3 linked regions of the Sus scrofa genome follow. The protein of the gene in region 1 interacts with the protein of each later gene in a pairwise test. Links are inferred from orthologs where the notes say so. Each region holds a gene or a part of one and is shown on either strand. Other genes may lie near its edges. The genes, in order: FHL3, TTLL10 and DCDC2B.

Region 1 (3,744 bases):
TGGGACTTGACCTTGACATTCTCAGTGGTGGGCTCAGGGAGAGAACAAGGAGGGAAAGCCTTAGTTCTCCGTTAAAGAGACCCAGGCGTGGTGCTCACTAAGACCAGTGGGGGCAGGTCTGACACCAGTGAGCGTAACTCTGAAATCTCCAACACAGGTACAGAAGAGTAGACACTAGCGTGCTGTTTGGCTTCTCACAAAGTGCAATGCCGCCCACCCACCACCAATCAGATCTCCCAAACGGCAGGCGGGATAGGACATCATCCCCGTTTTACAGCTGAGCACGGCGGCCAGGGACAGGGCAGAGACATGCCCAAAGTCACTCTGGTATGAGATCCTAGGTCCCCTGCCTCTCAGCCTGAAGTCCGTTTCTCTTTCCCTAGAAATGTTGCAGTGGCTGAGGGGGTGGTCAGCATTTAAGAGCAGGGGGACAGGAGATGCTAGGTGATATCACTGGGACAGGAGCCTGGCTCTTCTCCCCAGTTGCCAGCCCTGTGACTGGAAGACACCCAGAAGCCTTTCCAAGTACCCATGCCAACCGCTCAACCCCCTTTGCCCTTCCCCCCCACAATGTCTAGGAGGACCCTGGCCAGGTCCCACAGCTGTGACTCAGAATCAGCACAGACCCTCCCCCAGCTTACAGGAGCTCACAAGAGACTTGAGGGGAGAAACCAAACTCTTCCCTCCCCCCCCAACTAGGCATCAACCCCAAACTCTCCGGGCTCTCTCCCCTCCCCCCATGAGGGCTGGGAGTCAGAGCGGTTTGGGGGAAGGCGGGGTGGGAAGCAGGATCCAGCAGCTGCTCTGGGGACAGAAAGGAACAGTTCATTCACCCCGGGTCCCCCTGGACTGAAGCAGTGCGCCCAAGATTTGAGTTTAAAAATAAGTTGGAGCTGATTGGGGGACTGCATGGGGCTCCTTCTTGCTGTGTCTTACTGTCTCAGATCCTCATGGGGGATTGACTGGTCTAGAGTTTCTGTCTCCCCACATCCTCACTTCCCAGTCTTTTGGGCCTGAGTCCCGTGGGTCTGTCTTGGAAGCTGTCACTGTGCCTCCATGACATCTGTCTCTTGATGTCTAGCTCTGCTCCACTCAGCACGTCTGTGTCTGCACACTTTGGCAGCTGTCTTTATGTTTCCATGTCTCTGTATCTCTACTGGCCATCTCCCAACGACAGCCTCGGTGGATTTCTCCCTCCGTCCACCCAAGCCTTGGCATCTCAATGTCTCTAAAAGGTGGAATGTCTTGGTCCTCCCCCACCGTCCTTCTCTATCTCTTAGCATCTCTATGCCTGAGTGTCTCCGACTCTAGACTCTGGATCTTTCTAGGCCTCTCCAAGGCTGCTTTACCACGAGGCTAATGAAGCTTAAGCTTTGGAGCCCCTCACTTGCCCAGAACCTTCCAAGGCTCTGGGAAAGGCCGACAACACCTCTGGGGTCATTACATGCTTTTCCTTAAAATGCTCCGCTCCACAAAACCTCGGAGGGGTCCCTACGCCTCGGGTCTGCCTCCCGGTGACTCTACGCCCAAGTCTCTGTCCCTGTTTCGGGAATCTCTGCAGCCTCCTCTCCAAGCTTGTCACTCCTTATGCTGTCTCGGTTTCTGGCTCCACCAGGCTTTTTGGAAGCCGGTTTCTCGAACCCTCCCGGTAGCTCTCGACGCTGGTTTTCCATTTCAAACTTGGCCCCCTTCCCCCGCCCAACTCGCGTAGCAGCGCCCGCCCCGCCAGGAGGCCCGGGGCGGTGCGGTCCCCGTGGCGCCCCTCAGGGCTCGGCGCCCCCGCGCCACCGGCTCCCAGAGCGTCCCTGGCGCCCGCGGCCGGACCCCGGCGGAGGCAAAGGGCAAGAGGCGGGGGCCATGGCTGCTCTGAACCCCCGGTGGGTCGCCTCTACCTTCCCGCCCGAGGGCGAGGGCCGGGAGCCGGGATGGGGAGCGGGGCTCGGCGCGGAGCTCACCTCGAAGCGGGCGGCGGGAGCGAGGCGCGGCGCTCGAGCAGGGAGGGCCGGGCAGCCGGGGCCGCGTCCCTCGGCGGCTCCTACCTGCGGGCCAGGCCGAGCGGGGCCGAGCGAGCTACCGGCTAGGCTGCCGGCTGCACACGGACTGTGTGGGCGAGTGGGAGCGCGGCCCCAACCCCTCCTCGAGGAAGTGAGCGCTGGGGCCCGCCCCGCCCGGACCCCGCCCCCGGCCGCCCCTGCCCGCGGGGTGCGGACCCCGCCCCCGGCCCCAGGTCCCCGTGGCTAGGGGCTGGGGAGGGGGGCAGACCCCGCCCCCACCTCCCTTTTAGATCGGAGCCAGCCCCAGCCCCCTCGGCCTTCCAGGCCTAACCTGGCTCTCGCAACCTTCCCGAGCGGCCAGGACCCCGCCCCTGTCCCCTCCCTGCAGCTTTTGCTGTCCTCCCTCCTTGCTCGCCCCCTCTCCCGGCCCCCCCCCACCCCCAGCGGTTAGCTGTGTTCAATCTCGGGCAAAGGATACAGGAGGCAGCCGACCAAGGTCCATTTGGGGACCTCATGCCCTCTTCGTGTCCTCGCCCCCTCCCAGTTTACCCCCAGGGATCACACTGCCCGAAGGTGTACTAGAGGACTCATTCCAGCCTGGGGGTGGGGCTGGGGGCTTGGCCCTGCTGTCACAGCTCTGTAAGTGGGAACCTAGGTGTTCCGCGGAAACCAGGAGTGAAGCAAGGACCCCCTCCAGAGGGCCTTGACCTTCAAAGGGCTTTATTCTCCCACCCTGAGCGTGAAAACGAGTAACCACCTCCTCACCTCCTGCTGCATGGTGGAACAGAGAAATCCTCCCTTGGTTTTCACTGTGTCCAGGAATAGTTTTGACCTTTGAGGCCCAGGGGATACCCTAATCCTTCCCCCCCCCCCCCGTGGTTTTTGAGCTTCTCAGGAAGGAGTGTGAGGAGTGTGCATGGACAGGGCGCTGCAGGGGTGGTGGAGAGAAGTTCTTCTCCCCGACCTCTGCAGTTTCTAACCTTCTGGCTTCCTCCCTGGGTCCTGCCCTGCGGGGAGGGAGGACTGGCGCCTGCCAGGGACACAAGGCCCCTCCAGGTCCTTGAGGCCAACCCCCCTGGGATCCTCAGGCTTGTCACTAGGAATAAATAGCCATGGTCTGGAAGGGTTGGGGAGGGAGGAGGAGGCTCTGCTGGGCTGTTTGCAAAACAAGAGACAACAAACCAACCCTGGAAATAACCTCAGGGTCTAGAGTAGAGGTTCAGGTGCCCAGAGAGGCTCTCCCATCCCCCAGGCTGGGTCCAAACAAGCTCCCTGGGCAGAGACTCATTCCTTCCCAGGCTGGGGCTCCTGAGTACCCTCCTCTCCAACCTCTGAATCCCATGCCTGCCTGAGGGCCCCAAGACACCCTGGAGGCCAGGTTTCCTTTCAAAATTAACTAACTGCTTGTTAATTATCATTGTTCCTCATGCCTAAACTGTAAGGGCCATGAGGGCAGGGACCAGGTCCTTCTGATTCTGGCACTTAATAAATATCTGATGAATGAATGAGTGACAAACACTGCTTCCATGTCATTGGACCCTTAGGTGCCCGGATTGGACTGCAGGCATATGCTTCTGGAGTCCGGGGAGGAAGCAGCCAGTGCCTGTGTTGACCCTTGCTCTGGAACTTATCTTGCAGGTGTAGGAGACTCCCAGCCCTGGGGAGTGCAGGGAAGACTGCCTGGTTGGATGAGGGCAAGAAAGGGTTTACTGGGAGTTCCCAGTTGTGGCACAGTGGAAACAAATCCGAC
Region 2 (3,744 bases), about 30 Mb from region 1:
CTGCCCAGTGTACCCGAGCCAAGTACATCTAAGCCCAGAGACAGCCTGGCCACCCAGCTGCCCTGGGGAGACGCGTGCGCCCTGCAGCTCTGGCGGGTTAATGATTGGCTGCCTTGCTCCAGGCTGTGGAGGCAACTGAGCACCCAGCCCCAGGCCATCGTGGGAAAGGCCACTGGGCTGGCACCCACACCAGTTTTTTGGGTTATGAGGCAGTTTTTGAGTTTGAGCCTAGATGTCATGATATTGCCACTTGGGCAGCACCCCTCCCAGCGGTGGGGGGTAGTCACAGAGGAGCAGGGGGTGGGCCAGCCCAGCTGGGAGCCTCCGAGGGGCCTGGGTCTCGAAAAGTGATGTGGGAGGGGGCGTGGGCTCCCAAGGGGGACAGTGCAGGGTTCGGGCTCAGGCTGAGGGAGAGCAAGTGGCCTGCGGGTGACCAGGGCCCCACTGCCCCCCGCCAGGTCAGCTCCTAAGATCAGGACAGCCCTCATCAAGGACTTGGCTAGAGGAGCAGCCCCTACCCCCAGGGCAAAGCGTCTCAGCCACAGACTGGCATGACCACACAGGCAGGCAGGTGGCCGGGGCTGCGTCAGGCTCTGACCAGGGTCAGGATGGCCTCCCCCTAGTGGGGGTTGCTGCACGGGACCCTCAAAGTTCGGAGCGGTAAAGGGGTGGATTCACGTCCTGGGGTGGCCACAGAGAGTTACACAAACGCCGTGTGTTCCCTCAGAGTCCCCGGCCAGGAGCCAGGCATCAGCGCCGCACTCCCACCCCAGGCTCCAGGGAGGGTCCTGCCCGCCTCTTCTGAAGCCAGGGCTCAGGGCCTCCCGGGTGTGGCCGCCTCCCTCCAGCCTACTCCCCCCGCCCCCCATCTTCGGTCAGCCTGTCCCCTCTCTGTCCGCCTCCCTCTCGTGAGGACACTGGTCACTGGATGGAGGGCGCATCAGCCAAAGCCCATCGGCAAGGCCCTTCTTCCCAGTGAGGCTGCGGCCGCAGGTTCGGGGCTCAGGACGAGGACACACACGGGGACCGCGTCCACCCCACAAGAAGCACCCTGAGAAGAGACTCTGGTGACTGCAAGGCTTGGAGGGTGGAGGGGGCGCTGGGCAGGGCCCTGGAGGGGAGCCCCCTCCACCCCTTGGGGGGCGCGGTTTCACCAAGTCCCCGCCTCCTGGACCGTGACATGCCAACTCCACACACTGGGGCTGTGACGAGGGGAGAAACAGAGCAGGAAAAGCCCAGTGAGCAGGAAATGTTATGGGGTCAAGTCGGGGTCTGGGCCCGGCTCTGGGGGTTTTGAGAAGGCTCAGGAATGCTCTGGGAGGATGGAGGGCCCAGGCGGACCCCTTCTCCAGCCTCAGTCGCTCCCCACTCCACCCCCGCCCGCCCCTGCGGCGCTAGCCTCCTGCCCCTCCCAATCCACCTGCTCTCCTGGGGCTGTGGTTGCTGGGAGACGGTTGCCTGGTCACCACTGTTGTTTCCCGGGCAGAGGGCTCACACCACCTGGTCGGGCAGGTAAGTGAGACAGGTGGGCCACCGGCAGGGGTCCAGACCCAGCACGAAGGCTGGGGCCTGCCATCCAGTGCCCCCCACCGGGTTCCCCAGGCCCCCAGGAGCCCTGCGGGTCCTCTCAGGACTCTGCCCAGGAGCATAAAGGAGGCGTGGGAGGGGAGGGGAGGGGAGGGGAGGGGCCACCTGACTGGGCAGAGGCCCCCCTGTGGAGGGCCCGCACCCCCAGGGCCGTGGCGTGAGGGACAGAGACCCCCAGGCTGGGCTGAGAAGGTCATGCTTCCCGGGGATGGCAGCCCCTCAGGCCCAGCTCCTTTGCTCAGGACCAGGTCTGTTTCCCAGAGCCAACTCCCAGAAGAACGGCCTCCTAAAGTCCACGGGGAGCCACGTGCCCCCAGGCAGCTCGCCCCAGGCTGGGAGACACCAGACCATCCAGCAAGGTCAGCACCTCCTAGCGGCCCGTGTGGCCAAACGCGTGTTTCAGAGAAGGCTCCTGGCGGGACTCGGACGTCACCTCCACCCCTTGGATGGTTCCTGCAGGTTCGCGAGCGTCTTCTGCTCATCACACAGGGGCGCCCTTTCCTGCCGGTCTTTTTACCTGACCAGGTAAAAAGTTTACTTACAAATTCATTAGAAAGTTGTTTCCACTGAACCCCCCCCCCCCCGCTCTTCTGCAGCACGTCTGGGGACATGCCCACATTTTGCCACCATACATAACACCCTGTGAACGTCATTCCGCGTGAAGATTTGTTACCATATTTAGAACTGGTCCCTCCGAGAGTCTGAGAAATGCCACTGCTCAGCAGAGCCTCTCAGAACGTCGCTCTGAGCCCTGCGCCCGCCTGCCCTGCTCCCCGTGCTGTGGCCCCGCCGGCCACACCCTGCAGCCCCGGCCCGGTGCCCCCGCCCGTGTGTGTCCCCGGGTCTTTTCCTTTTCTTAATCGTTGCTGATTTGAATAACAAGAAATGGCAATTCACGACCTGTTTAATACTCTTTGAAAGCAATCAAACAACTGGAGTTAAGACACGTCAAATAGAGGCACAGGCTCATAAGGCTTGTGTTGAAAGCCAACGCCCCGTGCCCATCTCCAGGCTCCCGTTTCTGGGGCGTGCCCACTGCAGCATCTGGCTGACACCACAGAAGTTACCCATCAGTGTGGGGGGCACCCACACCACCCACATTCACAGCACAACACAAAGAACGCTGCCTCCAGGCTGGCCGCCTTGCTTGGCACTGGCTGGCCCTCTCATCCTCATTACCACCTGGGCCCTCCTTGAATAGGCGTGACCAGGCAGGCGTCTGCACACGTCCCATGCAGGAACTGTCTTCACAGCAACCTCACCAGAATGCTGTGACCCCCCCAGCCAACCCCGCAGTGGGGACATGAGCACAGAGCTGACCCATGCCACAGTCCCAGCTCCCTTCCCTGGGCCCACCCCTCTGGAGAGAGCCTGCCTCAGGAATCCCCTGAGGGAGGTCTGGAGGCATCACACCCCGCTGGCTGGTCACACCCGGCTGGCTGGCGGCGGGAGCCTTGCCTCCTGCGCTGAGATGTCTCCGGCTGGGTCCCCAGACTCAACAGTCACCCACTTCCTTCTGGAATTCTCCTTTCCAGCCCATTCCCTTGCCATGAACTTCTGACACTTCTCCCGTATCCTGAGTTTCCAGAGCTCTGCCCCAGTCTCTGTCCCTTGGTTCTAACCGTCCCGCCCCCTGGCGGTGGAAGCTGGTCCCGCCTGGCATGTCCCCAGGGCTGTTTCCCGAGCCTCGTCCCCTCTCTTCCTCTGAGCCTGGCTGTGTGCGGCTGTGTCTGTGTGTGTGTGTCCACCTCTGGTTCACACCTGGGGGCCTCCCTCAGATGCCTGTGGATGCAGTGGCCACTCACGTAAAGAGTGCTGGGGGATGGCGCTGACCGGCATTCACGTGGGGGTCCCATGTGCCGGCAGCGGGTGGGTCTCCCAGGCAGCGTGCGGAGTCACGCGCAGGGGCGCACGCGCACACACGCACCCTCCCTGCAGGCTCAGACCTGCCCCCCAGCCAAGCTGGCCCAGTCCAGCCCCCACAGAGAAGCCCTCCTGTTCTGGGGGGTGGGGCTGGGGAGGGGGCTCCGGGTCATCCGCACAGCTCGGCCACACTCGGCAGGGGTGTGAGACCCTCCCAGCGCCTGCTCAGCCCCCGCAGCCATAGAGACAGCTGTTCCTGGTTTAGCCTCTTCTGTCCTAAGTGGAGATGAAAGT
Region 3 (3,744 bases), about 5.3 Mb from region 1:
TCAGCGCAGCCACTTGGCCATGGAGCTGCTGTGGTTACAGCAGGCCATCAATAGCCGTAAGGAGGTAGGCACTAACTTGAAGGCCTTTCTGCACATTTAGGGCCAAGGGTGGGGTTGGGGAAAAGCCTCTTGCCAGACCCAAGCAGGCCTGCCTGATACAGTGTCTGTTCTCCTCCTCAACAGTACCTGATTCTCAAACAAACACTGAACTCTTCAGAGGTGAACCAGACCAGAGACAAGCCCTGCATGTGCCCAGACCATGGGGGTCAGGGCTGTGAGAAAGGAGAGTCACAACCAGTCCCACCACTGGAAGATCAGTCCTCTAGAGCCAGGCCCACTGGAGAGCCAGACCATGTGGATGACTCCTGCTGGAGACTCAAATCACAGCCCCACAGATCCCCAGAAAGACTGGCCACTACAGACAGAACCACTGCTGGGGCCAAGTACAGGGACTCAGGCTATAGGCGGACGGGACCACAGCTGCCCATACTATCAGATAACCAGGCCGTAGGGAAGAGGTTCAACAAAGAGCCAGACGCTGGGGAACAGATCTTTGGAGGGACCTGCCTGCAACTAACAGAACTTCTAGAGAACCAGACCCCCAAAGGCCTCAAACCTAGGGGCTACTGTTCTGGAAAAGCCAGGACACAGCTGCCCACACTCTGCGAGGACCCATACATTGAAGGCAAGTCTCCCAGAGGGCCAGACCAAAAAAAGCCTGATGGCCAAAAAACTAGACCACGAGAGTTGGGCCTCTCAGAGGACCACGTCATCTGGGATGGGTCTTTGGCAGAGCATGGTGGCCTGGATCTCTGGAAGAATAAACCACCCAAGAGCCAGACCTCCAGTGATAAAAGCTCCAGAGATAGGACCTCCAATGAATCTAGTCATGAAGGGTGGAAAACCCAGAAGACTGTACCGTGGAAATCAAGGCCACCTGAGAAACTGTCTTCCACAGGGTCAGACCACACAGCAGAGGACCACTGGAGGGGCAGGCCGTGGAAAACAGGACCACCAGGATAGACCCTACAGAACCAGGGAGGACCAGGTTCCAAAGGGGGATGCTGTAAAAGGGCAACGAGGGAGACAGGACCTCATCCTAACTCCCTGGTACCAGCTCTGCCTCCTGCCCCTGGCCATTGGGAGGTAATGAGGCAAAGAGAAGCTAGAGCACAGGGCTGGCACCCGCGGGGGGAATGGAAGGAGGAGGATGCTCTTATCCTCAGCCTGTGGCTCAATCCAAATTTGGGGACAGGGAGGTACCTGGGGTGAGTGAAGTTGGCAGGCCTGATGGAGAATAAAGGTTTTCCTTAGCTTCTGAGCCTGGTTGCATTCATTTCTGCCTCTGGTTAAGAGACTCTGGGCCCTCTTGTTTGCTTCCTGCTGACATGAGGCATCTTCCCCAGAGCTGGCTGGGAGCCACAGCCCAGAAGTAGACTAGCTATCTTTGGGGAACAGCCTCCAAAGCTAATCTTCCTTTAAGCTTAGCCCTCCGGGCTACAGAGTGGCAGGGAGGCTCTGAGAATCCTTCCCACCTCCCAGTATGGGACATGGGTGTTTCAGTGTGATCTCTGCCACTGCCTCTCTCACTGCGCCCCTGGCTCTTCCTTCGTATACAGTCATCACATCTGTCCAACTCTTGTGAGGCCCTGCCAAGAGCTGAATGCATGAGACCCTGACTGCAGACACACGCTCCTGTGGAGGCTCTCCCTGCCTTTCTGGGTGAGAGGGCAGGACTCCACCTCTGATGAGCGCTGCTCCCAGCCCTGCCTTAGTTGCCTGGCAACAGCTCGGCGTCTCTAGCCAAGGAGACACACTATGGCTGGTGGCAGGTCAGCAGCCAAGAGGGTAGTGGTGTACCGGAACAGGGACCCCTTCTCCCCAGGCCACCAGCTAGTGGTGACTCAACGCCGCTTCCCCACCCTGGAGAGCCTCTTCTGTGAGGTGACAACAGCTGTGCAGGCCCCACTAGCTGTGCGGGCTCTCTACACGCCTTTTCATGGCCACCCTGTCACCAACCTGGCAGACCTGCAGAACGGAGGGCATTATGTGGCTGCTGGTTTTGAACAATTCCGCAAACTCTCGTGAGTGGGCTGGGAGTGGTCAAAGAGGCTGGGGAGGGAGGTAACAGCAATAGCAACAGCGTGTATTCAGTACGTAATTGTGTGCCTTGGGAGTTCCCGTCGTGGCGCAATGGTTAACGAATCCGACTAGGAACCATGAGATTGAGGGTTCGATCCCTGGCCTTGCTCAGTGGGTTGAGGATCTGGCGTTGCAGTGAGCTGTGGTGTAGGTTGCAGACACAACTCGGATCCCTCGTTGCTGTGGCAATGGTTAACGAATCCGACTAGGAACCATGAGGTTGAGGGTTCGATCCCTGGCCTTGCTCAGTGGGTTGAGGATCTGGCGTTGCAGTGAGCTGTGGTGTAGGTTGCAGACACAACTCGGATCCCTCGTTGCTGTGGCTGTGGTGTAGGCTGGCGGCTACAGCTCCAATTAGACCCCTAACCTGGGAATCTCCCTATGCTGCGGGAGTAGCCCTAGAAAAGGCAAAAAGACGAAATTAATTAATTAATTAAAAAGAAAACAAAAAACAACTGTCTTGTGGAGTATGGCAACCCCATGAAGGGGTGGTCTTATCCCCGTTCTTTGCAAGGGGAAATCAAGATAGTGAAATAACCTGCCTGAGAGTATACAAGTAACAAAAGTGGACCCATGGTTCAAGTCAGAGTGACACTGATGTTCATGCCGGTGGGAAGAGGAACACTCCCACTGGTTGAGCCCCTTTTTCCAAAGGCTCTTCTTAACTGGATCCTCTGCCCCCATCACCAGCACCACCAAATACTCTAATCCATCCAGCACTTCCTCCTTGCTGCATTTAGACACCAACTACTCTCCATTTAGGCTGGGATCACCCTTTACAGGGTGGGTCTGTGCTTTCCAAGATGGGAGAACAATCTGAACAACTGAGCTTCCAACTCAGATCTGGCTTCCAGGGTCTTCCTCGGCTTTCAGCTGACATTGCTCACTGTAATGGAAGGAGCATGGAGTTGGGAGCTAGACAGACTTAGAATCTGGGCTCTGTCATTTCTGTGTCACTTAGGTGAGTCACTGAAGTTACTCTCAGTCTCACATAAAATGAGATAAAACCACCTACACCTCATGAATGTGGAAATTTGAGACAGTAGGATCTCAGCCTTTAATGTTGTGGTTTGTTGTCTAAGATCCCAGTCTGGATGTTCAGCCTGATACAGGGCCTAAGGCAGGTTCAAATGTCAGCATCTGGAGTTCCCGTCTGACTCAGCGGAAACAAATCCAACTAGGAACCATGAGGTTGCGGGTTTAATCCCTGGCCTTGCCCAGTGAGTTAAGGATCTGGCATTGCCATGAGATGTGGCATAGATCGCAGACACGGCTCGGATCTGGGCTGTGGCTGTGGCGTAGGCCCATTGCTGTAGCTCCGATTTGACCCCTAGCCTGGAAACCTCCATATGCCACAGGTGCAGCCCTAAAAAGACAAATAAATAAATAAATAAAACAAGTGTCAGCATCTGTTTCTGGATTGCTGACTGAGACTATTCTACTTGGAAGGGAGACCTGGTAAGCTGGACCCCAGCCCTGCACTCTGGTAGCTGCTTGGTTGTTGCGATCCCAGGCTCTCCGAGATGACCTGTGATCTGTCTGTCCTTTCAGCTATTTATCCCCCGGGAGGAAGGATCCAGGTGGGACGAGCAGCAGACTACC

What was found.
Region 2: the proteins of FHL3 (region 1) and TTLL10 interact in binary tests that used the Homo sapiens proteins (3 or more experiments, as listed by UniProt). The two-hybrid records come from large-scale screens. The link is inferred for Sus scrofa from reciprocal best matches to the Homo sapiens genes FHL3 and TTLL10.
Region 3: the proteins of FHL3 (region 1) and DCDC2B interact in binary tests that used the Homo sapiens proteins (3 or more experiments, as listed by UniProt). The two-hybrid records come from large-scale screens. The link is inferred for Sus scrofa from reciprocal best matches to the Homo sapiens genes FHL3 and DCDC2B.

What each region holds. Positions count from the first base shown.
Region 1 is NC_010448.4:93,985,757-93,989,500, forward strand, and holds the start of FHL3 (four and a half LIM domains protein 3), read right to left. Parts: upstream 2,813-3,744; 5' UTR 2,772-2,812; coding exon 2,760-2,771; intron 2,110-2,759; exon of another isoform or gene 1,956-2,109; intron 1-1,955. UniProt on the Homo sapiens protein: Recruited by SOX15 to FOXK1 promoters where it acts as a transcriptional coactivator of FOXK1.
Region 2 is NC_010448.4:63,493,390-63,497,133, forward strand, and holds the start of TTLL10 (inactive polyglycylase TTLL10), read left to right. Parts: upstream 1-1,369; 5' UTR 1,370-1,782; coding exon 1,783-1,946; intron 1,947-2,046; coding exon 2,047-2,112; intron 2,113-3,744. UniProt on the Homo sapiens protein: Inactive polyglycylase.
Region 3 is NC_010448.4:88,684,477-88,688,220, forward strand, and holds the start of DCDC2B (doublecortin domain-containing protein 2B), read left to right. Parts: upstream 1-1,381; 5' UTR 1,382-1,818; coding exon 1,819-2,084; intron 2,085-3,693; coding exon 3,694-3,744. Other genes in the region: IQCC (IQ domain-containing protein C), read left to right, coding at 1-64, 184-1,023.